Linked DNA regions of Pelodiscus sinensis. The protein of the gene in region 4 purifies or fractionates together with the protein of the main gene of each other region. This does not show direct contact. Links are inferred from orthologs where the notes say so. Each region holds a gene or a part of one and is shown on either strand. Other genes may lie near its edges. The genes, in order: SCFD1, NBAS, SEC22B and STX18.

What was found.
Region 1: the proteins of STX18 (region 4) and SCFD1 purify together in Homo sapiens (affinity purification with mass spectrometry; 5 studies listed by BioGRID and IntAct, counting the BioPlex papers as one, with this or other methods). This does not show direct contact. The link is inferred for Pelodiscus sinensis from reciprocal best matches to the Homo sapiens genes STX18 and SCFD1.
Region 2: the proteins of STX18 (region 4) and NBAS purify together in Homo sapiens (co-immunoprecipitation; 5 studies listed by BioGRID and IntAct, counting the BioPlex papers as one, with this or other methods). This does not show direct contact. The link is inferred for Pelodiscus sinensis from reciprocal best matches to the Homo sapiens genes STX18 and NBAS.
Region 3: the proteins of STX18 (region 4) and SEC22B purify together in Homo sapiens (affinity purification with mass spectrometry; 5 studies listed by BioGRID and IntAct, counting the BioPlex papers as one, with this or other methods). This does not show direct contact. The link is inferred for Pelodiscus sinensis from reciprocal best matches to the Homo sapiens genes STX18 and SEC22B.

What each region holds. Positions count from the first base shown.
Region 1 is NC_134714.1:51,540,949-51,549,020, forward strand, and holds the start of SCFD1 (sec1 family domain-containing protein 1), read right to left. Parts: upstream 3,064-8,072; 5' UTR 2,956-3,063; coding exon 2,925-2,955; intron 1-2,924. UniProt on the Homo sapiens protein: Plays a role in SNARE-pin assembly and Golgi-to-ER retrograde transport via its interaction with COG4. Involved in vesicular transport between the endoplasmic reticulum and the Golgi.
Region 2 is NC_134713.1:22,930,369-22,937,506, forward strand, and holds the start of NBAS (NBAS subunit of NRZ tethering complex), read left to right. Parts: upstream 1-4,057; 5' UTR 4,058-4,098; coding exon 4,099-4,218; intron 4,219-7,138. UniProt on the Homo sapiens protein: Involved in Golgi-to-endoplasmic reticulum (ER) retrograde transport; the function is proposed to depend on its association in the NRZ complex which is believed to play a role in SNARE assembly at the ER. Required for normal embryonic development.
Region 3 is NW_027465903.1:289,682-297,667, forward strand, and holds the start of SEC22B (vesicle-trafficking protein SEC22b), read right to left. Parts: upstream 3,045-7,986; 5' UTR 2,948-3,044; coding exon 2,873-2,947; intron 203-2,872; coding exon 93-202; intron 1-92. UniProt on the Homo sapiens protein: SNARE involved in targeting and fusion of ER-derived transport vesicles with the Golgi complex as well as Golgi-derived retrograde transport vesicles with the ER.
Region 4 is NC_134715.1:110,695,864-110,703,180, reverse strand, and holds the start of STX18 (syntaxin-18), read left to right. Parts: upstream 1-4,266; 5' UTR 4,267-4,393; coding exon 4,394-4,555; intron 4,556-7,317. UniProt on the Homo sapiens protein: Syntaxin that may be involved in targeting and fusion of Golgi-derived retrograde transport vesicles with the ER.

The DNA.
Region 1 (8,072 bases), on a different chromosome or scaffold from region 4:
TCTTTAAACCTGAAAATAGAATTTATTTTTCTTATCAATGGGACAAAATGTAACGTAGTGACAATTTAGTTTATTAAAATATCTGCCAGAATGTTTCCTATACCTCAGCTCAATTCTGTCCATTAGACCTCTAGATTCCCAGGCTCTTAGCAAGTTTGCATCTTTTCAGAAGGAAAATTATTTTTCTATCATTTCCTATAGCAGGAAGAACACAAAACATAGGGCCGAAACGTTTCTGAAGACTAACTCACAAACAGATGGTGGGCACTGCCATACTGAAAAGTGGGAGCATACCTGAATGTGTACGCTTTTAAAGAACATAAGAATGGCCATACTGGGTCAGACCAAAGGTCCATCTAGCCCAGTAGCCTGTCTGCTGATAGTGGCCAGTGCCAGGTGCCCCAGAGGGGGTGGACCAAAGACAATGATCAAGAAAACTGTCTCCTGCCATCCTTCTCCAGCCTTTGACAAACAGAGGCCAGGGGCACCATTCCTTACCCCTGGCTAATACAGGCAGTCCCCGACTTACGCGGATCCGACTTACGTCGGATCCGCACTTACGAACGGAGCTTTCTCGCCCCGGAAGTCGGGGCGAGAAAGCCCCGTTGATAAGCTGCTCCGGTGCCCCTGGTCTGCTGGAGACCGTCTCCAGCAGACCAGGGGCACCGGGCGGGTTCCCGCGCTTCTGAGGCTTTGCCAGAGCAAAGCCTCAGAAGCGCGGGAACCGCTGCTGCTGCCCCTTGAGACCCGGTGCCTGTGGTCTGCTGGGGACGGCCCCCAGCAGACCACAGGCACCCGGACTGAAGCCGCAGCCGCGGGGGGGTCCCGCGCCTCTGAGGCTTTGCCAGAGCAAAGCCTCAGAGGCGCGGCACCCCGCTGCTGCTGCGGCTCTGCTCCCCGTGTCCCTGGTCTGCTGGGGGTGGGCGCAGCTAGTGTGCTCCCCCCCCCCCCCAGCAGACCAGGCTTTTGTTTTGGACTCTGGGGCAGAGCAGCTGGGGCGCTGCCGATTGGTCCTGCAGCGCCCGTGGGCACTACTGGACCAACCCGGCAGCACCCCAGCTGCTCTGCCCCAGGTCCTGATTCAGCCGCTGCTGGTCAGTTTCAGCAGCGGCTGAATCAGGACGTCTGGGGCAGAGCAGATGGGGTGCTGCTGGGTTGGTCCAGTAGCACCCCAGCTGCTCTGCCCCAGGCGTCCCCAAGTCAGCTTCTGCTGAAACTGACCAGCGCTGACTACAGGAAGCCCCAGGCAGAGTTGCTCTGCCCCATGCTTCCTGGAATCAGCTGCTGATCAGTTTCAGCAGCAGCTGACTTGGGGACGCCTGGGGTTCTTAAGTTGATTCTGTATGTAAGTCAGAACTGGCGGTCAGTTTCAGCAGTGTCTGAATCTGGATGCCAGTTCCGACTTACATACAGATTCAACTTAAGAACAAACCTACAGTCCCTATCTTGTACGTAACCCGGGGACTGCCTGTAGTCTTTTATTGACCTAACCTCCATGAATTTATCTAGCTCTTTTTTAAACTCTCTTATAGTCCTAGCCTTCACAGCCTCCTCTGGCAAGGAGTTCCACAAGTTGACTATGCGCTGTGTGAAGAAGAACTTTCTTTTATTAGTTTTAAACCTGCTACCCATTATTTTCATTAGTTCTTATATTATGAGAACAAGTAAATAACTTTTCTTTATTCACTCTCTCCACACCACTCATGATTTTATATTCCTCTATCATATCCCCTCTCAGTCTCTTCTTTTCTAAACTGAAAAGTCCCAGTCTCTTTAGCCTCTCCTCATATGGGACCCATTCCAAACTCCTAATCATTTTAGAAAAGGTTCAGAAAAGAGCAACTAATACCAAAATATCTTTTTTGAGGTGAGGAGACCATATCTATACACAGTACTCAGGCATATTATTCACATAGCTGAAGTTGCATACCTTAGGTAGACTTACTGAAGTGGTACAGATTTAGCCTAAGAAAAAAGTTGATGCATTAGCCCTATTATCAATAGTAGTCTCCCTAATGTTCATCCTATTTAACTTCATTTTTTTCCCTATCTCCTTGACTCTCCAGGACTCATATACTTCCCAGGTGTTTTGTTTAATGCTAATAGCAAATACATGCACCAAAGACTCATATTTCTGTCTTCACACCTTGTTTTCAGCCTGCTCTTGTCACAGAGTCACAACAAAGAGAAACAGTTTCCAGAAGTCAACAAATGTACTAACCACTTTCTTTTGCATAATTTGTGCCATCTCACCCATTCACTTGTCTACTTAGTTTGCAACAGGAAAGCCAAAGTCTGGGGATTTTGGTGCCCTGGGCTCTATGTAATTATGATTTTTTACATTCCAGAAGTCTCTGCAGTGCAGTCCTCTATCACAGTAATGGTTCCAGAAAGCCCATTCTCAACTATTTCCAGACATTCTACTCGCCCGGATCGAGTAGGACTAGTCAGGTGAGCGCCAACTCGCAGCAGAGTTGGGGCCTCTTCTAGGAGAGCGGATCAGGGGCAGGCGGAACTCAGTGGGGCGCTAGGGGCTTGACGAGGTGGGTCAGCTGATGGCCAGTGGCTGGGGCTTCTGGGCGAAGTCGTGCGAGAGCCCCCCCCCCCCCGCGGGCGGGGCTTCAGAGGGGTGGGTGGAGCAAGAGTTGACAGGCCCCCCCTCAAGAGGAACGCCCGGACGGGGAGGGGGCGCTTGTTACAGGCCCCGCGCTGCTACCCTTTGCCCGCGGGAGGGTGAGTGAATCCCGTGCTCCCGCGGCCGGAGCGCTGGGCAGCACAGCTACCAGCCGCTGCACATCTTCCTGTAGCCGCAGCCAGGTGCGGCCCCGAGTCTCCTGCTCACGCCCCCGGGCTGGGGCGGCAGCTGCGGCGCGAGCCTCCCGTGACACGGCTGCGCGGCAGGACTAGACAGGAGAGCGCCTCACCTGTCTGCTTCTCCCGGATCCCGGCCGCCATCTTCACGGCCAGCCCCGCCCACTTTCGCGTACGCACCAGCCGGCGACGTGGCGCGTCTCCTCAGTCGAAGCAGAGCGGGGGGCGGGGACAATTGGCGCGCCGCAGCGTCACGCGCCGTGCCCTGCCCCTGAACAGCAAGCAGAGCCAAGGGGCGGGGCTTGGCGGCGGTAGCTTCTGCGACTGGATGGATAGTGAAAAATTGTGACGTAAGCACTACCGATAAATAGGACTTGTGCGCAGCGGGTGTTAGGTAGTTAAATACTTTTGAACACCTTCACTGTAGGCATTTCAGATCTGCCACCGTGCTCCTGTTACTACGGTAGCTGCTACACTAGGAGTGGCCAATAATTTTTGATCGGGGTGAGCCTGCCAAGAATTGAATAAGTTAAGAGACACACTCTTCAATTATATTAATGGAGGAAGTGCCGGAGGGCTGGAAGACCACCAAGGTGCAGGAGGAGGTAGAGGATCCAGGAGGGGATATGAATGCAAGAGGGGCTTCTGACTTGTGCAGGAAGGAGTGTATGGTGTTAGAGGGGGTTGAGCCCTAGGGCAGGCAAGCAGGAGGGTGTGCAGGTGGGCTGTGACCTCGGATAGGAGATTGGGGTGCAGAGCAGTTGAGTTACATAGGGTGGGGAGGGGGGGAAGAGAGGAGAATAGGGTTGCCAGGTGTCCAATAGTGGCAGCTTATGTCCTGTAAAAAAATCCAGAAAGTACCAGGCATGTAAAATGTATTTTCTGATTTTCTTGGACAGAAAAGTGCTTGGGACATTCTTCCCCTGCCACTTTTGGTAGGGGCAAGGAGGAGTATGATTCTGTTTTTGTGTGGTTGGTTTTTTGCTCGATTTTGGTCCCTGGGTTTTTTTTTTGGGGGGGGGGGGGAGTGCTCAACAGCTTTGGTCCCCATCTTTATTTTTTTTTTGCTATACCAATTTTTTTCCCCCACCCTGTTTGGCATTTTTTGTGAAACTATCTGGCAACCCTACAAGAGAACAGAAGGTTGGAGAGAGGGGCTGAGGTGCCAAAGGCAGGCTCTGGCCTAGAGGTGCTTACCTAAACAGCTCTTGGGCAGCAGCCCAGCACTTCCCTCAGGCAGGCTCCCTGCCTACCATGCTTCCATACAGGGCTCAGAGCTGCCCCTCTGGCGACCATGTGCTGTTCTGACTGACCATATTTTGCCTGCCCCTGTGCTACACCCTGGATGCCACAATCACTTCATTTTCTAAATGAAGTTTAACTGCTTTTGAAGAAAATACACTTTTAATACAATTGCTTACTAACTGAATCAGTTATTTTATTGCACTTCAAAAGATTTTATACACATGACAGTTGTCTCCCACAATTAATGTATTTATTTCATGGAGTAACATTGACATAGATGCTAAGTATGGTACTTGAAAGCTGCAACAGATTTCAGCTACTATATACTACAATTATGGCAAAAAAACAAAGCTAAAACTAGTTACAAAATTCCAAAGTTCTGTAATGTGTATTTTAATAAACATGGATGTTTTTCAAACATTCACTTTGTGTTACATAACATGCTAAATGTTAGTTTAACCAGAAGACATTAATTTCCACAATTCAGATAGTCTTTAGGAAAAACAAATATATACATGCTACTATTCATAAACTAGTCTTTGATTCCCGTTTTGCTTGTATGCAACTGACAACTTCCTTTTGTTAAACCAATAACAGTATCACAACTTTAAATGATTTACTATATACCAATAGAGGGAAACAAAGCTACCCTTTAAAAAAAAAATAAACCTATTTGCAGCTTTATGCATCTATTCAATTTATTGCTTCTCTAGTTGAAAAAAAATACCAGTTTATATCAATTGGCACTTTAAAAGTATAAATCATAGAACTGGAGGTAGATTAATGATCCTACTCAGGGCATTTTATGCTGTCCATATTTAAATACTTCTTCTCTTCAAATATTGAACTATGTGGCTGCATCTAGATTGGCATGATTTTCCGGAAATGCTTTTTGGAACAGAGCGTCTAGATTTGCGGAAAAGCGTCTGTGCCAATCTAGACGTGCTTTTCCGCAAAAAAGCCCCGATTGCCATTTTCGCAATCGGGGCTTTTTTGCAGAAAACAAATCTGAGCTGTCTACACTGGCCCTTTTGCGCGAAAGCTTTGCGCAAAAGGGACTTTTGCCCGAACGAGAGCAGAACAGCATTTCCGGAAGAAGCACTGATTTCTTACAGTAGGAAGTCAGTGCTTTTGCAGAAATTCAAGCTGCCAGTGTAGACAGCTGGCAAGTTTTTCCGGAAAACTGGCTGATTTTCTGGAAAAACTGGCCAGTCTAGAGACAGCCACCCTGTATTAGGGATGTAAGAGTTTAACAAACAATAAGCATTAGCTTATCAGTTTCAGTTGCGCTTAAACTCTTCTGCTAGTGTGTGCTGGTTCCTGGAAAGCCGGCTGCTGCGCTGAGCTGCAAGCTCTGATATTGTGGGCTTTGCAGTATGGGGCTGGCACATATCAGCTGCCTTCTAGGGAACTGGCTACGCTGCAGGCTCCCACAGCGCATGAAACCGCTAAGATTTTTAATGGTTACTTTTTAAAAGCTTTTTATATCTGTAGTATATATTCCCTATTGTAAGGAAGAACTGTAAATCTACTTTGTTGAAAAGATCTGCATTGCATGTAATGCTGTGGTGCTGGAAGTAAAATATAAGGTTGGTTACTTCACACACTGAATATAATTACAGGCAGTCCCCGAGTTACGCGGATCCGACTTATGTCGGATCCGCAGTTACGAACGGGGCCCTCTCCCTGGTCTCCAGCAGACCAGGGAGAGGAAGCAAAGCGGCGGAACACGCGGGCAGCGGACAGCCCAGACGCTTCTGGGCTGTCCGCTGCCCGCGTGCTCCGCGGCTTTGCTCTGCTTTGCTCCCCGTCCCCCTGGTCTGCAGAGCAAAGCAGAGCAAAGCCGCGGAGCACGTGGGCAGCCCAGACGCATCTGGGCTGTCCGCTGCCCGCGTGTTCTGCCGCTTTGCAGCCCCGTCCCCCTGGTTTGCAGACCAGGGGGACGGGGAGCAAAGCAGAGCAAAGCCGCGGAGCCCGAGGGCAGCAGGACAGCCACGGCGCGTCTGGGCTGTCCTGCTGCCCCCGTGCTCCGCGGCTTTGCTCCGGACGCCTGTGGTACAGCAGCTGGGGCGCTGCCGGTTGGTCCCGTGGCGCCGCTCTGGGCGCTACGGGACCAGCCCGGCAGCACCCCAGCTGCTCTGCCCCAGGCTTCCTGATTCAGCCACTACTGGTCAGTTTCAGCAGCGGCTGAATCAGGACGCTTGGGGCAGAGCAGCTTGGGTGCTGCTGGGTTGGTCCAGTGGGGGCGCTACTGGACCAACCCAGCAGCACCCCAGCTGCTCTGCCCGAGACGTCCCCAAGTCAGCCGCTGCTGAAACTGACCAGTGGCTGACTACAGGAAGCCCCTGCCCCGGGCTTCCTAGAATCAGCCACTGATCAGTTTCAGCAGCAGCTGACTTGGGGACGCCTGGGGTTCTTAAGTTGAATCTGTATGTAAGTCAGAACTGGCGTCCAGATTCAGCCGCTGTTGAAACTGATCAGTTTCAGCAGTGGCTGAATCTGGACGCCAGTTCCGACTTACATACAGATTCAACTTAAGAACAAACCTACAGTCCCTACCTTGTACGTAACCCGGGGACTGCCTGTATAACTAACACTTTAAAAAGAAAAAAAAATAGGAAGTTTTTTTTTTTTGGCAAGACTTCCTCTATCAGCTAATTCTGACTGATGGAAGTTCCAAGCTATCTTATTTGACTTGATTATTCCTATGTTTTTAAAATGTAGAGCCAAAGTTAAAAAAGCTACAATGTTTTAAAAATCTGTCGTCTATTAAATTAAAAAAAATTTTTTTTAATTAATGGAGATTGCCTATTTCCTAGAACTGGAAGGGTCATTGAGTCCTGTCCCCTGCCTTCACAGCAGGACCAAGTACCATCCCCAACAAATGTTTTGCACCAAATGGCCTCCAAATCCCTAAATGGCCTCTGCAAGGATTGAACTCACAACTCTGGGTTTAGCAAGCCAATGCTCAAACCACTGAGCTGTCCCTCCTCCCCAAGATTATTTGTAATAAAATTTAAGATTATTTGTAATAAAATTTCTAAGAAAAGCAAGTAAGTTGCTTATAAAAGATGACAGATCTAAAACAAAAGTTATGGCCTTAATGCAGAATTTAATGGGTGAGGTATGATCTGTGTAGGATTCGGATGAAGAATCATTCTTAATAGATGATGCTTACCAGGTAACAGTTAGCCTGTACCTGGGAGCGACCCAACTGCGGGCACAGGGCTGCTTCAGCCCCCGTGCAGGGCTGCTGGAAGCTACAGCAGCAGTGACAGCCCCCCCGGGGGGGGGGGGGGGGGCGGGGAAGATGAGAAGCAACTTCTTCCTGTAATGGGGCTGCTCTAGCCCAAACCCCTTTAAATCAGGTAAACATAGTGCCAATACTACATTTAACTTTTTAATTAAATGGAATTTTACATCCCTAGTGTATGAAGGTGAGACTAGATGACCACGATGGTCCCTCTTCTGATCGGAATCACTAATCTCATCCAAGGAATGTTTATTATATAAATGGTGTACTAACTAGCTTTTCTATTGTGTGTTTAACAGATAGCACTGGCTAATACTGGAGGTTTAAAATAAGCAGCATTCTTAACTCCTAATTTTGCTTTCATGTAATATTTATTTTTTTTGTATAATGGTAAATTACTGAGCATATGCAATTTAAATGACCAAGTTCAATCAATTAAATTTTAGGAGTTGATTGACATAGAAATAGTGAGAAACTTATATCACTACACCATAACTTTCTAATGAATGAAACAATTTTGTACTTCACAAAGATAATTTACTTTTAAATGTAGTAAAGCCATTTATTCTGGGAATATGAGAAATTAAGTTGAAAGTGATAATGTAATTTTTATATATATATATATGCTGGAAAATAAGCACAAAAAGGACCAATTAATCTCAGTGTTAAGTTCTTAGGAAGAAACAAGAATTGAAGCAAGGATTAATTTGGGTTTACAATGCTTAATTAAAGCAAAATATGCAATACAAGAAATGCTTTATTT
Region 2 (7,138 bases), on a different chromosome or scaffold from region 4:
CTGTGCAGCGGCTTCCCCTTTGAAACACCGCATTGGGGTTTCAAAGCGGCAGTGCCGCATAGCTGATTCCCGGCTCAGTTGTGTGGCACTGCTGCTTTGAAGTACTCCCCCTCTTTTCTGCCTCTATCTCATAGAGGTAGCAGGGAGGTGGTGGTGGTGGTGGGGAATCGACTAGTTGACTAGTCGAGAGACTATCCGATACGCATTTGCTAGTCCTTAACATCCCTAACCCATTCAGTGTACCTAATTTGAAACCACACAGAGACTGACCAGATCAAGATCATGTTGTGAATTGTAACCCAGCTAGTAAACCTGAGACCATGAGCCAAACTGAACCCAAGTTCTGAATCCTCATTCAGACTCAGTGTTGTCCGCACCAAGTGTTCAAGGACTATTTGTTGTTTTCTCAAGACTGAAGAGTCAGGCTTCCAAATCTGAAAATATTCACTTGAAAATCTGGGGTTTTTTTGTATCAGAGGGGTAGCCGCGTTAGTCTGAATCTGCAAAAGTGGTGAGGAGTCCTGTGGCACCTTATAGACTAACAGAAGTGTTGGAGCATAAGCTTTCGTGGGCTAAAGCATCTGACAAAATGGGTCTTCGCCCACGAAAGCTTATGCTCCAACATTTGTATTAGTCTATAAGGTGCTACAGGACTTTTCGCTGCTTTTGGGTTATTTTTGTCACAGGTTCAAGGGACTGCACTCTCTGCTCCAAGAAGGCTACTCACTCTAGACTTCCAAGTCATCAACTCTCTTGGACAGAGCTAGGATCTTGCTGCAACTTTAACAAAAATACCAAATACCAAATAGAATGAGAATTACAGTACAATTTAGGGTGCATGTATACTGCACCCTTAGCTCAAAATAAGCTACTCAATTTGAGCTATGTAAATTCCATAGCTTATTTTGAGTTAATTTTGAAATAGAGTGCTATTACAAAATTGTCGTGGAATTATGTTTACACGGATGTCTTGAAATAGCGCTGTTGTCTAGACACACCCTTAGAAAATTAGTAACACTGCTCATTTAATCCAAAGCTGAAACTGAACTCTTGACTTGAACCTAAGCCCAAACTATCTGTTTACTTTGAATATTTTATCTTTAAATTATACAGTTGTTGTCACCTCTAAACAAGTAGATTGGTATAGCCTGGTTTCATAGTTATTTAATCTTCTAGAAGAGTATGTTTGTTTGAAAGTATCTTTACTTACACATACGGAATAATAATCAGTTCTAACTTATTTTTAATAATCTATTCCTGAAGTCCTTACTCAACTTTTACTGCTCAGTTTCTGCTCTGTTTCTGTTGAAACAAACTCCTATTGACAAGAACCTCTATTGAGTGAAAACCTCTGGATCTGGAACTGTAAATATAGGATTAACCTCAAACTGGGAACTAAACAAGTGTAACTTCACCATTTCACATTATTTGTGAATTTGGCCAATTATAAACTAGTTTATCAAAGAGAAAGCATGAGAGTAGAGCATCATGGTGATTCCTTCCTGTTGTCAAAATGATACACAGAACTTTTAAAATTCCATTGAGACTTCCCCAGAGAGAAGAAGAAAGCACCTTGGTGTAGATTTCATCCAAAGGACAGCTTCTATAACAATGCAATATGTACTATTGCACAGTGGCATGAATAATGGCTAAACTAATTCCTGTCATGAGAATTGAGTTCAGCACCTTCTGTCCAAGTGTGTTACCATTTAGAGCATATTCATTGTTACTGACTTATTCTGGTGTATATGAGAAGGTAAGTATTAGGAATATTGCAATAAATATTCTAGTACTTTAATACCAGATTTCGTTTGTCACCAGTGGTGTTTTGGATCGTTTTTGTTAGCTGTCTTTCATTAGTAACCAAAGACCAAAGGCCATATTTTAGTGGGTATCAGTTTCATCTCTGCTATACACCTTTGCATTATATTCAGATGAGATCAATTTTAATATAGTTTGTTTAAATGATGTTTATTTTCTGGCTCCTCTTTGTACTTTACAGTCCTTAACTCATTTCTATCTAATCCATCATCTTCATGTTTTACATTTCAATGGAGTCATAAAATATTATACTAATGCAATTATTTTAAAAAAAGTTGAGGTGCCCATGTGAAGCTGTTGAAGCACTTGTTGCCAGATCTGTAACGCTAAAGGAAAAATGTACTGTGAACCTCATATTGTTCTTATAAATTGTGAACATTGGACAGATGCACTGCTGTTGTCACCCTTTTACCTTGAAAAACATAAATAAATTAAAAATATTAATCTAAAGAAACAATCAGAACTCAGTAGAAATTTCTTCTCAAATGGCACTATTTCTGTAATGTTTAATTTAAACCGTCTATGGCATAGAGTGCTAGGCCTTGTAATTCCACACTTTTGTCAGTATCTAAAACTAGACCACATAGCTGACTGCAAATTTAAAAAGAGATTATTAAAATACTAAAAATAGAAAAGGTTAGCAGTAAAGTGTGATCTTCTTTTTGTTGTAAGAAGTCTACATTACAAAAAATACTATACACACATTTAAAAAAAATACTATGTAGTTTATTATTTTCTTTGTGTTTCTCCTAAATTAACACTATTTGTCTCGATGATTGTGCATTCTAGGGTGCTGATCCTGTAATACAGTGGTTCTCAAACTTTTTGGTCTATGGACCATCCGCCTCAATGAAGACCTTTCTGTAGACCACCAGCTGCAATGGAAATTCAGAGTTAATGACATAATTATGCCTGAGCCATTTTGCAAGTCCTGCAGCTAAGGAGAATGGTTTAATTTAAATTATTAAACAAATTAAGTGTTTGAACTTTCTCCTGTTAGTTTATCAAACTTCATTTTAAATAAAGTATTAATTTATGTCGCAAACAAAAGGTTTCAATGTTTTCTTTATTTATGGTGTGGAGGCAGGAAAAGGGAATACGGGAATTTGTGTGCAGCCATCTTGGTCTTGTTAACAAGAGAGCAAGAGTCAGGCTAAGTCTGTGGCCTGACAACGCGAGATCTGTACTTAGACACTGCCTTTGCCTCTTGCCTCCATACGGAGATAAGGATAGAATGCTGACTCTAGCAGGGACCTTGAGATAAGGAGCATCTGGGTGGAACTAAATAACTGTTAGCCATTGGTGTCTGTAATGGGAAGGAGACTAATTGTTGTTGTTATTATATATAATGGACAGTATATAAACTCTTCATAATTGCTTGTATCTGAAGATCTGCCTTGGGGGGACTTCCCCCCCCCCCGTCCGAACCAGTTTTTCCCTTGCTGCAGCTTGTAATAAAACTGCCTCTGGCTACTTGTTGCTTACAAACTCAGAGCGAGGACAATGTTTTCTTCCACAATGGAATGGGCAGGGAACCTTTTTTGGGTTGGGGGGCCACTGACCAATAGAAAAATCAGCTGGGGAACACACAAGTGAGAAACAGAAGAACTACGCCAACCGTCAGTGATGTGGCTCCCACCTGAGACACCTCAGGACTCTGGGGGTGGGGAGAAAAATGAGAGTTTCAGTGTGCTGGATGGGCTGCTAGTGAGTGAGATAGGGATGGGGGTGCAGGATCTGGGGAACAGGAAGGGGTGAGGGTGCAAGGTGTGGGTGGGAGGTAGTGTGCAGAAGCAGGCTGGGTGTAGGGTGTCCGGCCGGGGGGAAGGAAGCAAGAGCAAGGGAGGGTGCAGAGTGTGGTTAAAGTGAACACTTAAAGGTGAAATAGACAAAACAAATCATCTTGACATGAGTAATTACACGTTTTTAAAATTTTAAATGTTTCATTTTAACTTAAAAAAATGTGTATTTTGGGATTGACAAAAGGGCCATCTTTGGTTCCAAATTTGTTCTAGAGCCATAGGTTGCAGACCCCTGATATATTATAGTATCATGAGCTCATGATACTATATATAGTTGTATTCGTTTCTAACAAAAAATATGGTGCTACTGGACCACTCGTTGTTTTTTTCAGTTTTTTTTGGTGTGGCCGTGGCCTCCACTTGCCCTATGCAGACAGCAGCAGAGCGGAAAGGGTTAAACATCTCTTTCCCTCCTCCCCGCCAGGAGGAGTGAGTGAGAGGTTTGTCCGCAGCCGGGCGCCGTAGCTGGTGTCTCATGGCTGCTGCCGCTGGGAGCTGGGAGGCGGCGGCGGGGGTCGCTAGCGGGGACGAGGAGGAAAACATCCTCTACGACCTGCTCATCAACACCGAGTGGCCGCCGGAGACCGAGGTGCAGGTCAGTCTGCCCCCCCCGCCCCCCCGCCGCTCAGCTGGGTGGGAGTGACCCAGGTGGGGGCGGGGTGGCCACGTTGAGCCCTGCAAGGCGCGGGAGGGCGGGCGCACGGCGCGGTCTCCTTGTCCCCCAGCGACGAGGGGTCGGGCTACCGTTGGGGGCACCTTCCACGCGCGAGACCCCCCGTCATCCCGAGCGAGCGAGGGGCCTTCTTCTCTCCCGGCTACTAAGGCTGCTGGGGCCACCCTGGCAGGCAGCGGCTCCTGACACCTTAAGGAGCATCCCGGGCACGTACCAAACACCTGGCGTGTGTCGCTCAGCCAGGGGGGAGGCGGCCCGCTCCCGTTTGGCACCTCGCTCCTGCACGCGGGCTGCTGCAGTCCCGGGGTGCGGGGAGCCCTTGAACACCGCTGTGTGCGCTGTATGATGGAAAGCGCTTCAAGCCGGCGTTGCCGCTGCCCCTTTGCTTTTTATACCGTTAACCAATATTGGTGAGGTTTTTGCTTTTTAGCAAAAGTACAGAAGGCTGTCGGGTAGAAGTATTCGTTGTGCAATTTACTTTGAGCCTGCTCTTCAGAAGAGGTTAGCTAACAGCGCCAAAAGAGTCAGTACGGGTTGCACTTAGGGAAACCAGGCCCTCTATCAAGTAAACAGTGTATGATGCAAAATGAAGTTATTTCCTATTAAAGCTATGGCAGGTCTTGGTTGGCAGATCTGCCCCGTATACTGAATGGGGAGAACATAACATACTTCGTGTGTTTTACAGAGGATGGCATAAGTAGACATCAAAGCACAAAAGTTGGATATTATTTAAACTTTACTAATTGGAAGATGGTAATTTGTTGAGGTTCTGTTTGTTCTGTGTGAGCCACTGAGAAACCTTGTTTTCAGTGGCTGGTGAGTAGTGGCTTGGCCGTGTATCCTCAGGGACAAATTTTTCATCTTCCATTTATTTCTCTATTCTTTTCCACTTTGTGCTAAATCAGCTGTCTGTCTTACATTTTAGAGGTTACATTTCTGCTGTAAAGTTGTTCCTTGTATTTATGTTTTGATTTCAAATTGTTTGTGTGTGTAAAATACGCACCCCTCCCTTTCCCCCAATACTAGGCATGTCAAAGTGTAGTTGACTATAAGATTAACCGATAAGCTTAGTCTTATCAGTTAGACTTGTCAATTACACACATTTCTAGTTAAAACACAGATACTTCATGAAAAATTTAATTAGGGAAATAACTGAGCAAACAGTGTTTTAATTTCCACTTTCTAGTTAATGGATACTAAGAACACTTTTCAAGAATAGAGTACTGCAATTTCTGCAGAAATCCATAGGTATTTGCTTCCAATTAATTTTTGTGGCTATTGGAGCAGATGTGTAAATCATAGAATACTAGAACTGGAAGGGACTTTGAGAGGTCATCAAATCCAGTTGCCTGTCCTCACGGGAGGACCAAACACTGTCTAGATTATCCCTGATAGACGTCTGTCCAACCTGCTCTTAAATATCTCTGGTGATGGAGATTCCACAACCTCCCTAGGCAATTTATTCCAGTGTTTAACCACCCTGACAGTTAAGTTTTTCCTAATGTCCAACCTAAACCGCCCTTGCTGCAATTTCAGCCCATTGTTTCTTATCCTGTCATCAGAGGCCAAGGAGAACAATTTTTCTCCCCCTCCTTGTAACATCGCTTTAGATACAGGCAGTCCCCGGGTTACGTACAAGATAGGGACTGTAGGTTTGTTCTTAAGTTGAATTTGTATGTAAGTCAGAACTGGTACATATTGTAGGGGAAACTCTAGCCAAACATTTCTCCAGAGCTCCGTTTTATTCTCCCACACCTCACTTCCCTCAGTCCTTTATTCTCAAGCTGAGGTGTCTGCTGAGAAAAGCCGCTCTGCGTCTCCCTGGTCTGCTGGGGGGAACAGCTAGTGCGGGGTTGCCTCACCCCGTTTGTAAGTAGGGATCTGATGTAAGTCGGATCCATGTAACCCGGGGACTGCCTGTACTTGAAAACTGTTACCATGTCCCCTCTCAGTCTTCTCTTTTCTAAAATAAACAAGCCCAGTTCTTTCAGTCTTCCCTCATAGCTCATGTTTTCTAGACTTTTAATCATTCTCGTTGCTCTTTCTCTGGACCTTTTTCAGTTTCTCCACATCTTTCTTGAAATGTGGTGCCCAGAACTGGACACAGTACTCCAACTGAGGCCTAATCAGGGCAGAGTAGAGCAGAAGAATGACTTCTTGTGTCGTGCTCACAATACTCCTATTAATGCATCCCAGAAGCATGTTTGCTTTTTTGCAACTGTTCAGAAAAAGGACTCTATATGGGTACTTGTCCTGCTTTGTCCTGCCTGGTGCTTACTGGGAAGAAGGATCGGGGTAATATCTGCGGAGGAGTGTGGTGGAGGCAGGGTGCTTGGCAGTGCCTTGCAGAGAAGAGTGGGACAAGCATCCTGCCCTAACCACGCTCCTCCACACACATTCCCTGACCCCACTTCATAGTTAGGAGCACCTCTGGGAAAATATGTTTAAAATCATAATTAAAGACTGCATGATAATGCATATGCATAGGGAGACTGAATTTTAAGATTGCCCGGGGAACCTTAATGTGTGTGGTAGGCAGCTAAAAACATCAATGCTTAATAGATATTTCAAATGGGCACATTGTCATTGCAAATGTAGATAGGAGCCTTATATAGATTTTATTTCTGAAATGTTCTAACAGTAAAATTTGAAGCTGTCTGTCAAACATGAATGTATCGTAAAAGGAGGTTTCTTAATGGATTGGAAGAAGGGTTTCTCTGTAACTGCATGGTGCATGTAAGGCTCAGTGGAGATACATTAAAGGAGAATACATTTTAATGTTCCTAATAGAGTAAATGACTTACTTTTAGGGATTAAAAACAATTGAAGAACGAGGCTTTTT
Region 3 (7,986 bases), on a different chromosome or scaffold from region 4:
ACCTCTAATGTCTTCTGGAAGTACCTTTTGGTTTTCTAAAAACGTAAGTTGGGATGCTGACACTTTCCACCTCTACAGCACTTTATACTTACTGGAAAGCCATTGATCCTGCTTCTAGGGTGCATCTGGTAGGTGACTGTTCATTCAATTTCCGGAAAAGCTGTTTAGCTTGGCTCTGGTACTGCTGCAGGTCCCGACCTGACTGAGAAGCAGAAAAAGTCTATTAGGCCAGGTTCTACCACATGGCACAGTGAACTGCAAACAATACAACAGTCTTTTAAGGCACAGGCAGGCCCTTTTCCCAGAAGGACACTAATACAATGTCCACAGCTAACTGCAAAGAGTTTTACCAGAACTGGATCTGAAGTTGATGGGCACAATCAAACTAAGTAGTACATGCTGGTAGATCTCAGGAATCTACCTCTGATGAATACATCAGTCCCCATTTTTGGAAGTCCCTATGAAGTTGTGGCTTTTGGGGTTTGGGGATTTTTTTAAGCATTTCTTGCAGAGGGTCTTGGCCCAGAGAACATGTGTCAGTAGAACTTGAGTTCTACTAACCCTGGGTTTACAATGCAGGAATGACAATCTCTCTCTGGCCAGGAGAATTAGCTTGCTTCCTCAAAAGCATGCATGTATGTATGCAAGGATGAGAATCTCAGTGGCACTGAGGGGTGAGTCTTGGCTTCTTATATAGTTCTGATCTACTTTGGGATCTCTGTGGAAAAAGAGTCTTTGGGAACTTCATTGTTACTAGGGGGGACACAATCTCTCTCTCTCTAAGTCCAAACACTGTGGGACAAGGGAATGCCTATATCTTGATGCCAAATCTAGTTTCCACCTCTCCCCAGGGTGCTTGGGATACACTTAAAGTTCAATCAAAATAGCTGCATCAGGCATGGAGTGAAAAAGCCACTCACCTCACTAACAGCCATGTTGTACTAAACTAACCCCCACTGCCGATGCAACTGCAGCCTCTGTCCCCCTGATCTCAGTCTGAGGGGGACTCTGGGCTAGGAAGGAGGGTCTGAAGAGGGGGCTTTCTGGGCTGGAAAATGGACAGTGAGTGTCAGCAGACCCTCCAGAAATTGGAGGGCATGATTCCGGGAAGGGGGGAAGGCTGTGAGCTGTTGATGGAAGAATAGCATAGTTTGGAGAGATGGCAGTTCTACACAACACAAAAGACCCTTTCAGCAATGGAGGGTGAGACCACTGCAGCCTATAAAATACGTTAAGCTAACTTTAACCAAAGCCTAATTTGTATTTAAGTGTGGAGAAATACAGAAAATTAAAGTTGTTAGTGTTAAAAAAAAGGCTAAAAAAAACCAACCCCCAGCCCCTTGACAGTACTAAAGACATGATCCAAAATTATATTGTGGCTCCATTTTGGTTATAACTAGTTTTAGCAGGGCTTTTAATAAGCATTTTTAAAATGTGTCATCAAAATGTTTATATTAATAGTCTGAAAAGAACATTGGTGCAAGTATTAATTTAAATAATATATAATGTAACTAGTCAAAAAAGTGGCAAAATTACAAATCTGGTTATGGGTGGGTAGATTTAATATTAATGAATATTATAGTGGCTCATAACACAAGTAGCCTTGCTGAACTGCAAAAAAGCTCCAACTACCATTAAAATGGTACCGTTAGATTCCAGAATGATAAGGCTGTACTTGACTCGGTGGTCAGTGCCCTAATCACCCCTTAACATGTTATTTTATGTCTCTTGAGTGCCAGGAGGTGGGTGAGTTTCATCTTCAAGGAGTCACAGGGTGAGAAGCACAGTGGCAGAGGTCATCAGCTGCCTAAAACTCACACCTGCCAGCAAACTCAAGCAGTACCTCAATCTTCTGAGAAGGCACAAACCCAAACCACCCTTTTACAGCCTCTGTTCCCCGAGGGATTGATTTCAATCTGAGGGGCGCTCTGGGCCAGAAAGGGAGGGTCTGGAGGGGGGCATTCTGGGCTGGAAAGCAGACAGTGAGCATCAGGAGACTTGAGCCTGGGATGGGGGACATGGGTCTGGGAAGGGAGAAGGCCCGTGGGACGGCAAAGAAGGCCCAGGAAGAGGGGAGCCCTGGGAAGGCAGGGTGGTGGCAGAGGGGGCCCAGGAAGGGGGTCCCTGGGCAGGCGGGGGGTGGCAGGGGGGCCCTGGGCGGGTGGGGGATGGCAGGGGGGGCCCTGGGCAGGCGGGGGGGGCACGGGAGGGGAGCCCTGGGCAGGCGGGGGGGCCCTGGGCAGGCGGGGGGGGGCCCTGGGCAGGCGGGGGGGGCCCTGGGCAGGCGGGGGGGGCCCTGGGCAGGCGGGGGGCACGGGAAGGGGGGCCCTGGGCAGGCGGGGGGGCACGGGAAGGGGGGCCCTGGGCAGGCGGGGGGGCGCCCGGGAAGGGGGGCGGCGGGGTGGTGCCCGGGAAGGGGGGCCCTGGGCAGGCGGGGGGGGGCACGGGAAGGGGGGCCCTGGGCAGGCGGGGGGGGGCCCTGGGCAGGCCCTGGACAGGCGGGGGGGCCGGGAAGGGGGGCCCTGGGCAGGCGGGGGGGGCCCTGGGCAGGCGGGGGGGCACGGGAAGGGGGGCCCTGGGCAGGCGGGGGGGGGCCCTGGGCAGGCGGGGGGGGCCCTGGGCAGGCGGGGGGGCACGGGAAGGGGGGCCCTGGGCAGGCGGGGGGGGCCGGGAAGGGGGGCCCTGGGCAGGCGGGGGGGGCCCTGGGCAGGCGGGGGGGCACGGGAAGGGGGGCCCTGGGCAGGCGGGGGGGGCCGGGAAGGGGGGCCCTAGGCAGGCGGGGGGGGCCCTGGGCAGGCGGGGGGGCACGGGAAGGGGGGCCCTGGGCAGGCGGGGGGCTCCGGGCCGCGCGGGAGGAGGGCCCCGCTCTCACCTGCTCATCCTCCTGCATGGAGGCGGCCAGAGGGAGCCCGTCCGCCACCCGCGCGATCATTGTCAGCAGCACCATGTCCGCGCCGCTCCGCCCCGGGCGCCGCCCGGCCCCGCCACCCTCAGCCTGGCCTCGACTACTGAGGTGGCCGGAAACAGCCAACTCAGCATCCGGGCGCCCTCGCCGGAAGTACCGGGCTACTTCCGGTCCCCCCCAAACGCAGCCCGGCCGGCGCCGCTCGCTTCCGGCCGGAGCGGCCCGGGGGGTAGGGCTGCCCAGGGGCGAAGGGGGCTCTGCAATCGGCCGGCAGCCGGGCCCTCGTGCCGAGCTGCCAGTGGCAGGATCGCAGCGTCCGCGAGCAGACCCCAGGGCGGCGCGCGAGGCTCAGAGGAGGGGCCCTGGAGTCCAGCCCGACCCGGGACCATTGCGCGGGGGCGGGGGCTCGGGGGCTAGCGCTGCGACGTGCGCCCCGGGACCATTGCGCGGGGGCGGGGGCTCGGGGGCTAGCGCTGCGACGCGCGCCCCGGGACCATTGCGCGGGGACGGGGGCTCGGGGGCTAGCGCTGCGACGCGCGCCCCGGGACCATTGCGCGGGGGCGGGGGCTCGGGGGCTAGCGCTGCGACGTGCGCCCCGGGACCATTGGCCGGGGACGGGGGCTCGGGGGCTAGCGCTGGGACGCGCGCCCCGGGACCATTGCGCGGGGGCGGGGGCTCGGGGGCTAGCGCTGCGACGCGCGCCCCGGGACCATTGCGCGGGGGCGGGGGCTCGGGGGCTAGCGCTGGGACGCGCGCCCCGGGACCATTGCGCGGGGACGGGGGCTCGGGGGCTAGCGCTGGGACGCGCGCCCCGGGACCATTGCGCGGGGGCGGGGGCTCGGGGGCTAGCGCTGGGACGCGCGCCCCGGGACCATTGCGCGGGGGCGGGGGCTCGGGGGCTAGCGCTGGGACGCGCGCCCCGGGACCATTGCGCGGGGACGGGGGCTCGGGGGCTAGCGCTGGGACGCGCGCCCCGGGACCATTGCGCGGGGGCGGGGGCTCGGGGGCTAGCGCTGGGACGCGCGCCCCGGGACCATTGCGCGGGGACGGGGGCTCGGGGGCTAGCGCTGGGACGCGCGCCCCGGGACCATTGCGCGGGGACGGGGGCTCGGGGGCTAGCGCTGGGACGCGCGCCCCGGGACCATTGCGCGGGGACGGGGGCTCGGGGGCTAGCGCTGGGACGCGCGCCCCGGGACCATTGCGCGGGGACGGGGGCTCGGGGGCTAGCGCTGGGACGCGCGCCCCGGGACCATTGCGCGGGGACGGGGGCTCGGGGGCTAGCGCTGGGACGCGCGCCCCGGGACCATTGCGCGGGGGCGGGGGCTCGGGGGCTAGCGCTGGGACGCGCGCCCCGGGACCATTGCGCGGGGGCGGGGGCTCGGGGGCTAGCGCTGGGACGCGCGCCCCGGGACCATTGCGCGGGGACGGGGGCTCGGGGGCTAGCGCTGCGACGCGCGCCCCGGGACCATTGCGCGGGGGCGGGGGCTCGGGGGCTAGCGCTGCGACGCGCGCCCCGGGACCATTGCGCGGGGGCGGGGGCTCGGGGGCTAGCGCTGGGACGCGCGCCCCGGGACCATTGCGCGGGGACGGGGGCTCGGGGGCTAGCGCTGGGACGCGCGCCCCGGGACCATTGCGCGGGGACGGGGGCTCGGGGGCTAGCGCTGGGACGCGCGCCCCGGGACCATTGCGCGGGGGCGGGGGCTCGGGGGCTAGCGCTGGGACGCGCGCCCCGGGACCATTGCGCGGGGGCGGGGGCTCGGGGGCTAGCGCTGGGACGCGCGCCCCGGGACCATTGCGCGGGGGCGGGGGCTCGGGGGCTAGCGCTGGGACGCGCGCCCCGGGACCATTGCGCGGGGGCGGGGGCTCGGGGGCTAGCGCTGGGACGCGCGCCCCGGGACCATTGCGCGGGGGCGGGGGCTCGGGGGCTAGCGCTGCGACGTGCGCCCCGGGACCATTGGCCGGGGACGGGGGCTCGGGGGCTAGCGCTGGGACGCGCGCCCCGGGACCATTGCGCGGGGACGGGGGCTCGGGGGCTAGCGCTGGGACGCGCGCCCCGGGACCATTGCGCGGGGACGGGGGCTCGGGGGCTAGCGCTGGGACGCGCGCCCCGGGACCATTGCGCGGGGGCGGGGGCTCGGGGGCTAGCGCTGGGACGCGCGCCCCGGGACCATTGCGCGGGGACGGGGGCTCGGGGGCTAGCGCTGCGACGCGCGCCCCGGGACCATTGCGCGGGGGCGGGGGCTCGGGGGCTAGCGCTGCGACGCGCGCCCCGGGACCATTGCGCGGGGGCGGGGGCTCGGGGGCTAGCGCTGGGACGCGCGCCCCGGGACCATTGCGCGGGGACGGGGGCTCGGGGGCTAGCGCTGGGACGCGCGCCCCGGGACCATTGCGCGGGGACGGGGGCTCGGGGGCTAGCGCTGGGACGCGCGCCCCGGGACCATTGCGCGGGGACGGGGGCTCGGGGGCTAGCGCTGGGACGCGCGCCCCGGGACCATTGCGCGGGGGCGGGGGCTCGGGGGCTAGCGCTGGGACGCGCGCCCCGGGACCATTGCGCGGGGGCGGGGGCTCGGGGGCTAGCGCTGGGACGCGCGCCCCGGGACCATTGCGCGGGGACGGGGGCTCGGGGGCTAGCGCTGCGACGCGCGCCCCGGGACCATTGCGCGGGGGCGGGGGCTCGGGGGCTAGCGCTGGGACGCGCGCCCCGGGACCATTGCGCGGGGGCGGGGGCTCGGGGGCTAGCGCTGGGACGCGCGCCCCGGGACCATTGCGCGGGGACGGGGGCTCGGGGGCTAGCGCTGGGACGCGCGCCCCGGGACCATTGCGCGGGGACGGGGGCTCGGGGGCTAGCGCTGGGACGCGCGCCCCGGGACCATTGCGCGGGGACGGGGGCTCGGGGGCTAGCGCTGGGACGCGCGCCCCGGGACCATTGCGCGGGGACGGGGGCTCGGGGGTTAGCGCTGCGACGCGCGCCCCGGGACCATTGCGCGGGGACGGGGGCTCGGGGGCTAGCGCTGGGACGCGCGCCCCGGGACCATTGCGCGGGGACGGGGGCTCGGGGGCTTGCGCTGGGACGCGCGCCCCGGGACCATTGCGCGGGGGCGGGGGCTCGGGGGCTAGCGCTGGGACGCGCGCCCCGGGACCATTGCGCGGGGGCGGGGGCTCGGGGGCTAGCGCTGCGACGCGCGCCCCGGGACCATTGCGCGGGGACGGGGGCTCGGGGGCTAGCGCTGCGACGCGCGCCCCGGGACCATTGCGCGGGGACGGGGGCTCGGGGGCTAGCGCTGGGACGCGCGCCCCGGGACCATTGCGCGGGGGCGGGGGCTCGGGGGCTAGCGCTGCGACGCGCGCCCCGGGACCATTGCGCGGGGGCGGGGGCTCGGGGGCTAGCGCTGGGACGCGCGCCCCGGGACCATTGCGCGGGACGGGGGCTCGGGGGCTAGCGCTGGGACGCGCGCCCCGGGACCATTGCGCGGGGGGCGGGGGGCTCGGGGGCTAGCGCTGCGACGCGCGCCCCGGGACCATTGCGCGGGGGGCGGGGGCTCGGGGGCTAGCGCTGGACGCGCGCCCCGGGACCATTGCGCGGGGACGGGGGCTCGGGGGCTAGCGCTGCGACGCGCGCCCCGGGACCATTGCGCGGGGACGGGGGGCTCGGGGGCTAGCGCTGCGACGCGCGCCCCGGGACCATTGCGCGGGGGCGGGGGCTCGGGGGCTAGCGCTGGGACGCGCGCCCCGGGACCATTGCGCGGGGGACGGGGGCTCGGGGGCTAGCGCTGGGACGCGCGCCCCGGGACCATTGCGCGGGGACGGGGGCTCGGGGGCTAGCGCTGCGACGCGCGCCCCGGGACCATTGCGCGGGGGCGGGGGCTCGGGGGCTAGCGCTGGGACGCGCGCCCCGGGACCATTGCGCGGGGACGGGGGCTCGGGGGCTAGCGCTGCGACGCGCGCCCCGGGACCATTGCGCGGGGGCGGGGGCTCGGGGGCTAGCGCTGGGACGCGCGCCCCGGGACCATTGCGCGGGGACGGGGGCTCGGGGGCTAGCGCTGGGACGCGCGCCCCGGGACCATTGCGCGGGGGACGGGGGCTCGGGGGCTAGCGCTGCGACGCGCGCCCCGGGACCATTGCGCGGGGGCGGGGGCTCGGGGGCTAGCGCTGGGACGCGCGCCCCGGGACCATTGCGCGGGGGCGGGGGCTCGGGGGCTAGCGCTGCGACGCGCGCCCCGGGACCATTGCGCGGGGGACGGGGGCTCGGGGGCTAGCGCTGGGACGCGCGCCCCGGGACCATTGCGCGGGGGCGGGGGCTCGGGGGCTAGCGCTGGGACGCGCGCCCCGGGACCATTGCGCGGGGGACGGGGGCTCGGGGGCTAGCGCTGGGACGCGCGCCCCGGGACCATTGCGCGGGGCGGGGGCTCGGGGGCTAGCGCTGGGACGCGCGCCCCGGGACCATTGCGCGGGGGCGGGGGCTCGGGGGCTAGCGCTGCGACGCGCGCCCCGGGACCATTGCGCGGGGGCGGGGGCTCGGGGGCTAGCGCTGCGACGCGCGCCCCGGGACCATTGCGCGGGGGCGGGGGCTCGGGGGCTAGCGCTGCGACGCGCGCCCCGGGACCATTGCGCGGGGACGGGGGCTCGGGGGCTAGCGCTGCGACGCGCGCCCCGGGACCATTGCGCGGGGGACGGGGGCTCGGGGGCTAGCGCTGGGACGCGCGCCCCGGGACCATTGCGCGGGGCGGGGGCTCGGGGGCTAGCGCTGGGACGCGCGCCCCGGGACCATTGCGCGGGGACGGGGGCTCGGGGGCTAGCGCTGGGACGCGCGCCCCGGGACCATTGCGCGGGGACGGGGGGCTCGGGGGGCTAGCGCTGCGACGCGCGCCCCGGGACCATTGCGCGGGGGCGGGGGCTCGGGGGCTAGCGCTGGGACGCGCGCCCCGGGACCATTGCGCGGGGACGGGGGCTCGGGGGCTAGCGCTGCGACGCGCGCCCCGGGACCATTGCGCGGGGACGGGGGCTCGGGGGCTAGCGCTGCGACGCGCGCCCCGGGACCATTGCGCGGGGGCGGGGGGCTCGGGGGCTAGCGCTGGGACGCG
Region 4 (7,317 bases):
TAAATCATGCCAAACCACATATGTTGCCAGACCAGAGAGTGCCAGACTAGAGAGGTTCAGCCTGTATTAATTTCAGTTCTTCTGTGGCAAGTGGCAGGATTTTGAGGCCTCTGCAGAGGTTCTACTCTCTGAGGACTACCATGGGAGTTTATGGGCCAAAAGCAGGATGGGGAACTGTCGGAGAAGAGTTGTAAGTTACAATATATGTAGATCCACCAGCAATTTACACATACGTTTTTTCCCTTCCCCATGAAGGCAACTTACAGAAGTTAGTGGTGGGCTGAGACTAAAGCACCATCATAGTCTGCTGAGTGAGACTGCATTCCCCTCTATGCCTGCAACATCCTCTTGCACAAAGGCAAACTGCTTGTGCTCAATCTGGGGAGAATGAATTTTCCTCAATAATATTAAAAACAACATGTTATTTCTTAAAATTGTCTCCAGCCCTTCCATGGAGTTGCTAGTGTCATTGCTAGACAATTCAAAGTGCAATTTACTATTGCCCCCTCTTCCATCACCAGTGTCCTGTTCCAATACTACCATTGCCCCTCTGCTGAATGGTAACAGCTGTCCAGGGCCTCACAGCTCAGCTTCCCAGTGGAAGAGAAAGCATTGACATAGTAACTTGTTTTATTTACACTTATACATTAGTCATGGAACAGAGGTGGTCAAGAGATTGCATGCAACTCTTCTTTCAGGAATGTAAGCCTAACACCAGTGCCCAGTTCCAGAGGAAAAACCTACTTCAATCAACTAATCAACATGTCTCCACATGGTTGAAAAATGCAGGGGCCAATCCAAACTGGGAATAGCTACTTTTCAGCATACAGCATATGCTACTTTTCTCAGGGCTTGTCTACACTAAGTGATCTCCGAGTGCACTCCCTTTGATGCTAGTAGTCTACTAAGACGAGAAGAGTAGCTGGCATCGATGGGAGAGCAGTCTCCAACCTTACTGAATGCAAGACACCACAGGGAGAATGTCAACTTCAGCTATGCTATTTGCATAGTTGAAGTAGATTGAAGGTGCTGGTAGGTGTAGACAAGGCCTCAGGATTTTTCACACATGGAAGAGAAGTAGCTTTGGTGACCTAACCCCCACTGTAGATAGTGCTAGTTTAATGAAGAAATTCTTCTGTTCACTCTAGTTACCAACTCTTGGGAATGTGGATTATCTTGCAGACAGTGTAGATAGTGTCTACACCAGAGCAAGCGACAGACTTCACTGGGACCTCAGCAAAGTGGGAGGGGAGCTCAACTCTGGGCCCCTAGTAAAGGGCGAGGCCTTGGACAGAATTGGCAGAGTTTTCCGGGGGGGAGTAGCCTTCCCCACCCAGCCCTCAGCACCACCTGGATCATGCTGTATAGGCTCCAGATGCTATTGTCAGTGGCAGTGGCAGTCTAGAGCCGTGGGCCCTTTTAATTGTGGGCTACAGCCCCCCATGCTGCTGTTGGTGACTCTGGACTACACAGAAGCACTGCAGTTAATTTCTATAGTAGTGCACTGCAGCTGTCCACTGTAGCATTAGACATAGCCTAAGAAAAAGAACTTGGACAACAATAACACACTGTAATAGCACCACCTGGTGACACCTGCCATAATATTGTTTATAAGAACACACTGCATGAAAATACCCACCTAAGGCCAGGTCTACAGTTAAAAGTTTTACCGTTAATTTTTTTTTTTTACAACATTGTTATCCTGGCAAAAGCCCTAGTGTAGATGCAGTTATACCAGCTTTTGTTTTTGCCAAATATAGATTGTTTCAGTCATTGAACCAGAAAAAAAGAGATCCTGGCCAAAACATTTTTGTGACTATGTAACTGCATCTGCATTAGGAGGGATTGGCCAGTATTACAATACTGGCAAAATTCATATGCGTGACCCACGCTTTATTAAGTTTGGCTTGTAATGGTTAAGCGTTTACTGTAAGAAACAAAAACAGAATGCTAAGCATAAGTCCAAACTATGCTTTTGGTGAAATATATATCTTTCATGGAAGTAAAAGGAATTAGAGTGCAAAGATTCAAAGACAGATTAAGATCTCTTTTAGTAAATGCAGGAACCCTACCAATTTTTATTTTACGATTCAACTGAAGAAAAATTAGTCCTCAAACCCCAGTTTTGATAGAACTCCTTCAGGGAGCCCTGTTGATTTTAGTTTCAGTAGGGCTCACTCCTCCCCACCACAACTGTATAGGGGCCTCATTGTAGAATGAAAGGTCACTCTCTTCCCCCAGTGAGACAGTCTGCCTGTGGCATGGAGAGTGATAACCCCACGGGTACTGGAACAGAGGATCTCACTGGGGTTGGAGGGGAGACTCATACCCCTTCCCCTGCAGCAGTGAAAGATTTCCTGGAGGCTCACCCCCTGCACACTGAGGCAAAGAGGGGCTCCCCTCTCCCCCCACCACCAGGGCAGTGCAGTAAGGTAACCTTGCAGGCTCGCTGCCCCCCCCCCCCGCACACCCACCCACACTGGGCACTGCAGGCTCTCCCTGGGGGGTCCCCCCACACCGACACTGGGCACTGCAGGCTCTCCCTGGGGGGTCCCCCCACACCGACACTGGGCACTGCAGGCTCTGCTTGGGGATTCCTCTCACACCCACACTGGGCACTGGGGCCTCTCCCTGGGGGTTCCCCCCACACCCACACTGGGCACTGCAGGCTCTCCTTGGGGGTTCCCCCCACACCCACACTGGGGCACTGCAGGCTCTCCCTGGGGGCTCCCCCCACACCGACACTGGGCACTGCAGGCTCTCCTTGGGGATTCCTCTCACACCCACACTGGGCACTGGGGCCTCTCCCTGGGGGTTCCCCCCACACCCACACTGGGGCACTGCAGGCTCTCCCTGGGGGTTCCCCCCACACCCACACTGGGCACTGGGGGCTCTCCTTGGGGGTTCCCCCCACACCCACACTGGGCACTGGGGGCTCTCCTTGGGGGTTCCTCCCACACCCACACTGGGCACTGGGGGCTCTCCCTGGGGGTTCCCCCCACACCCACACTGGGCACTGGGGGCTCTCCCTGGGGGTTCCCCCCACACCCACACTGGGCACTGGGGGCTCTCCTTGGGGGTTCCTCCCACACCCACACTGGGCACTGCGGGCTCTCCCTGGGGGTTCCCTCCACACCCACACTGGGCACTGGGGGCTCTCCTTGGGGGTTCCTCCCACACCCACACTGGGCACTGCAGGCTCTCCCTGGGGGTTCCCTCCACACCCACACTGGGCACTGGGGGCTCTCCCTGGGGGTTCCCCCCACACTGGGCACTGGGGCTCTCCCTGGGGGTTCTCCCCACACTGGGCACTGGGGCTCTCCCTGGGGGTTCCCCCCACACTGGGCACTGGGGGCTCTCCTTGGGGGTTCCCTCCACACCCACACTGGGCACTGGGGCTCTCCCTGGGGGTTCCCCCCACACCCACACTGGGCACTGGGGGCTCTCCTTGGGGGTTCCCCCCACACCCACACTGGGCACTGGGGGCTCTCCTTGGGGGTTCCTCCCACACCCACACTGGGCACTGCGGGCTCTCCTTGGGGGTTCCTCCCACACCCACACTGGGCACTGGGGGCTCTCCTTGGGGGTTCCTCCCACACCCACACTGGGCACTGCAGGCTCTCCCTGGGGGTTCCCCCCACACCCACACTGGGCACTGGGGGCTCTCCCTGGGGGTTCCCCCCACACTGGGCACTGGGGCTCTCCCTGGGGGTTCTCCCCACACTGGGCACTGGGGGCTCTCCTTGGGGGTTCCCTCCACACCCACACTGGGCACTGGGGGCTCTCCTTGGGGGTTCCCTCCACACCCACACTGGGCACTGGGGCTCTCCCTGGGGGTTCCCCCCACACCCACACTGGGCACTGGGGGCTCTCCCTGGGGGTTCCCTCCACACCCACACTGGGCACTGGGGGCTCTCCTTGGGGGTTCCCTCCACACCCACACTGGGCACTGGGGCTCTCCCTGGGGGTTCCCCCCACACCCACACTGGGCACTGGGGGCTCTCCCTGGGGGTTCCCTCCACACCCACACTGGGCACTGGGGGTTCCCCCCACACCCACACTGGGCACTGCAGGCGCTCCCTGGGGGTTCCCCCCACACCCACACTGGGCACTGCAGGCGCTCCCTGGGGGTTCCCCCCACACCCACACTGGGCACTGGGGGCTCCCCTCACGCCCACACTGGGGCACTGCAGCGGGGTTTCCGCGGGGCGGGGGCCTGGGAACGTGCCAGTTGCACTTTGTGCCACCCCAGCGGCTCTGCGCTCCCTGGCGGCTCGGGGCGGCGCCGGGGCGGATAAGGCGGCGGAACCCTGCACGGCGGCCGGAGTTGTGCGGGGAGGACTGTGCGGGTGACCCACGCGGGGCCGGCGTGCGAGGCGGCAGCGGGGTCGCTATGGCCGCGGACATCACGCTGCTGTTCAAAGCCAGCGTGAAGACGGTGAAGACCCGGAACAAGGCGCTGGGGGTCCCGGTCGGCGAGAGCGGCCGGGATGAGCTGCTCAAACGGGGCAGCCAGCGGCCCAAGAGCGACTTCTCCTGCCGGGCCCGCGAGGTGGTGAGTGCGGGGGAGGGGGTGGCGTGGAGGTAATAGAGCAACTGCCCGTCTGCACAGCGAGCCCCATCTCAGCTACAGGTGCCCCGCAGCTCGGTGCCATGCAAAGCGATGGGGGGAGGGGGGAGGAGAGTCTCTTATCCCCCCCCCCCTCCGCCCCGTAGTCTTTTCCTTCGTGCACTTGGCAGCCCCCTCCCCTGCGTGTCGGTCTTTCCCCTTTACAGCCCCCGTGCATCCGCAGTGACCAGGCGGTGGCTCTGCGTGGCTGGTCGGGCTGCGGGGGGGGGGGGGGGGGGGCTTTTAAAAGTTCCCATTAAAACCAACGTGCTGGGCAAAAAAAAAAAAACCTCCCACAAACAACTGCCCGGTAGTCGTTCGTTTACTCTCGGTTGTTCGTGGGGGACTTTTACCCAGGAACAGGAGAGAAAGAACACAAAAACAAAATAATAGCCAGCAGTATGGTTTTCAAACTCAGCAATTGGTGGGGGACGCAGGAGAACCTAAAACTACTCTTGTCCTGACGCTTAAAAAAAAAACTGATCAGCTTTCAGGTTGACATATCCCTTTAAAACTAAGCCCTCCCCCAAGTGACTTGGCAGAGGTAAGGCATGTATATTGCTTATAATGACACGTAGCAGTCTCTGGTGATATTATATAGCCTCTATGCTGTATTCATTATTAGGGTTAATTCTGTTGCATGCGAGTACCAGAATTCCTCCTTTTTTGTAGCCCCTGCTCCTGCAAACATTTATGCTTGAACGTAAATTTACTCAGAAGAATAGTGACATAGTAGTTACTAGATCTATTCTTGTGACTACAGTTAAATATACTATGTGCACAATTAGGTTTTTAGAATTGGGGCCATATAACTGTTGAAGATGTATGTGTATGTTCTGTGTGCAGATAAATATTACATGCTGTACTAATACAGTGTCCTAACCATGTCATAAATTGTATTTACAATGAACTCTTGAGAGCTTTACCTGTCTTCTGTTCATTAATCTCTCTCCAGATTTTAGGCTATCATTCCAACCCATTGAACAGCTTTAATGAATTGCCACTTTTTAAAATCAACTACCAGAGATATTTTTATTGCTGGAGTTGCAGTTTTTAAAACAGTAGGCTAAATTAAATCATGATTCAAATTATGAAGCCAGTGGAGTTGTACCTCTATACACTAGAGCTAAAGTAACCTGATAGATATAAACAAAAATATATAGCCTGCAGCTATTGGAAACAAAAATATGTGTATTAGAGAATATATTAAGAAATATTGACACTTTTTCTGGAGGGTGTCAGCAGAATTGCACTTTTTGGCATAATGTCATGGGGATATTTTACTTTTGACAATATTGGTTATTTGCAGAAGAATGAATTTAGAGGTGGGAGCTAGGGATGTAATAGTGTAGTTGATTAATTAACTGATAAGCAAAAGGTTATAGGTTAATGCTATAGAAGACATGCATTTCCCTCTTTCTCTCTTCCTGCCAGTAAATTTCTGAGTCCTGGCTTGTGATGGGTCCAGGACATACCCCTACTGCGGCTCTGCATTTAATGTGTATTAGAAGCCAGCCAGGCAGGCAACCCAGTTCAGTTCTGGCTCATGCCAGGTTTGGGAGCTTAGACCCCCACTAGACAGGGGCTGCTGCCACCCTGCGCTGCTGCTTCTTTATCAGAGGCAGCAGCACGGAGCAACAGGCAGCTGGTCTGCGAGTGAAGCTTGTTTTTAAACTGACTTCCCTTGCGGACCAGTGTCTGCCTGGCACCCTTTGCTGCTACCTCTGATACAGTGGCTGCCAGGCCTGCCCCCAGGGACTGTAGAATAGTTGACTAACTGATAAGAATTCATGAGGTTACTCGACTACAGGGCATCCTTGCTATAAGTTGCCCCAGTATATGTTGCTTCTGAGCTGGCGTCATTGATGCTTGTGGGAACTGTTCCGTTTTAAGTCCTCCCATTCTCTGTTCTGCACTAATTGGTCTTTTTTTTTAATGACGGAAACGGATGTTAGTCACAGGAAGAAAATTCCTCGCTTTACATCCCTTTGCTATACGTCTACTTTTTTTTAAATGTATCTTGGATGTACAGTGCGGATGCCCTATATTCAGTTAACCAATATTTAACATGAGAGAGCCTCTGAAATAAATATTCTAATTAGAAGTAGTAATGATCCTTTTTATTCAGTTATTTATGCACTGAGACTTTGCAATCTAGCATAGGTGGTAACATTATTTAAATTAAAATCTGATTTAAAGACTATTATGTTAATTTAAAATAATTAATAAAGTTACAGTGGCAATTTGACTTTATCAGAACTGGAAGCTTGTCTCAGGAAATCTCTCATCTTGAATCACTTAAACCTGTAGTCATAAGCACAAGAAAACTTCATATTCCAGGCTTCTGGGCAATAGCATGAGTGCATTCTAGGCAAGTGGAACTGTCAGATATCCTGATAGAAATGTAGCCGTGTTAGTCTGGTGTAGCTGAAACAAAATACAGGTCTATGTAGCACTTTAAAGACTAACAAGATGGTTTATTAGATGATGAGCTTTCGTGGGCCAGACCCACTATTTGATCTGAGGAAGTGGGTCTGTCCCACAAAAGCTCATCATCTAATAAACCATCTTGTTAGTCTTTAAAGTGCTACATAGTCCTGTATTTTGTGTCAGATATCCTGTCTGCCAAACAAGTACAATGGGGTTGACTGGTAGTGGATGCCTAAAACCATGCACAACAATACTGAGATGCCTCTCAGTGACGGAGT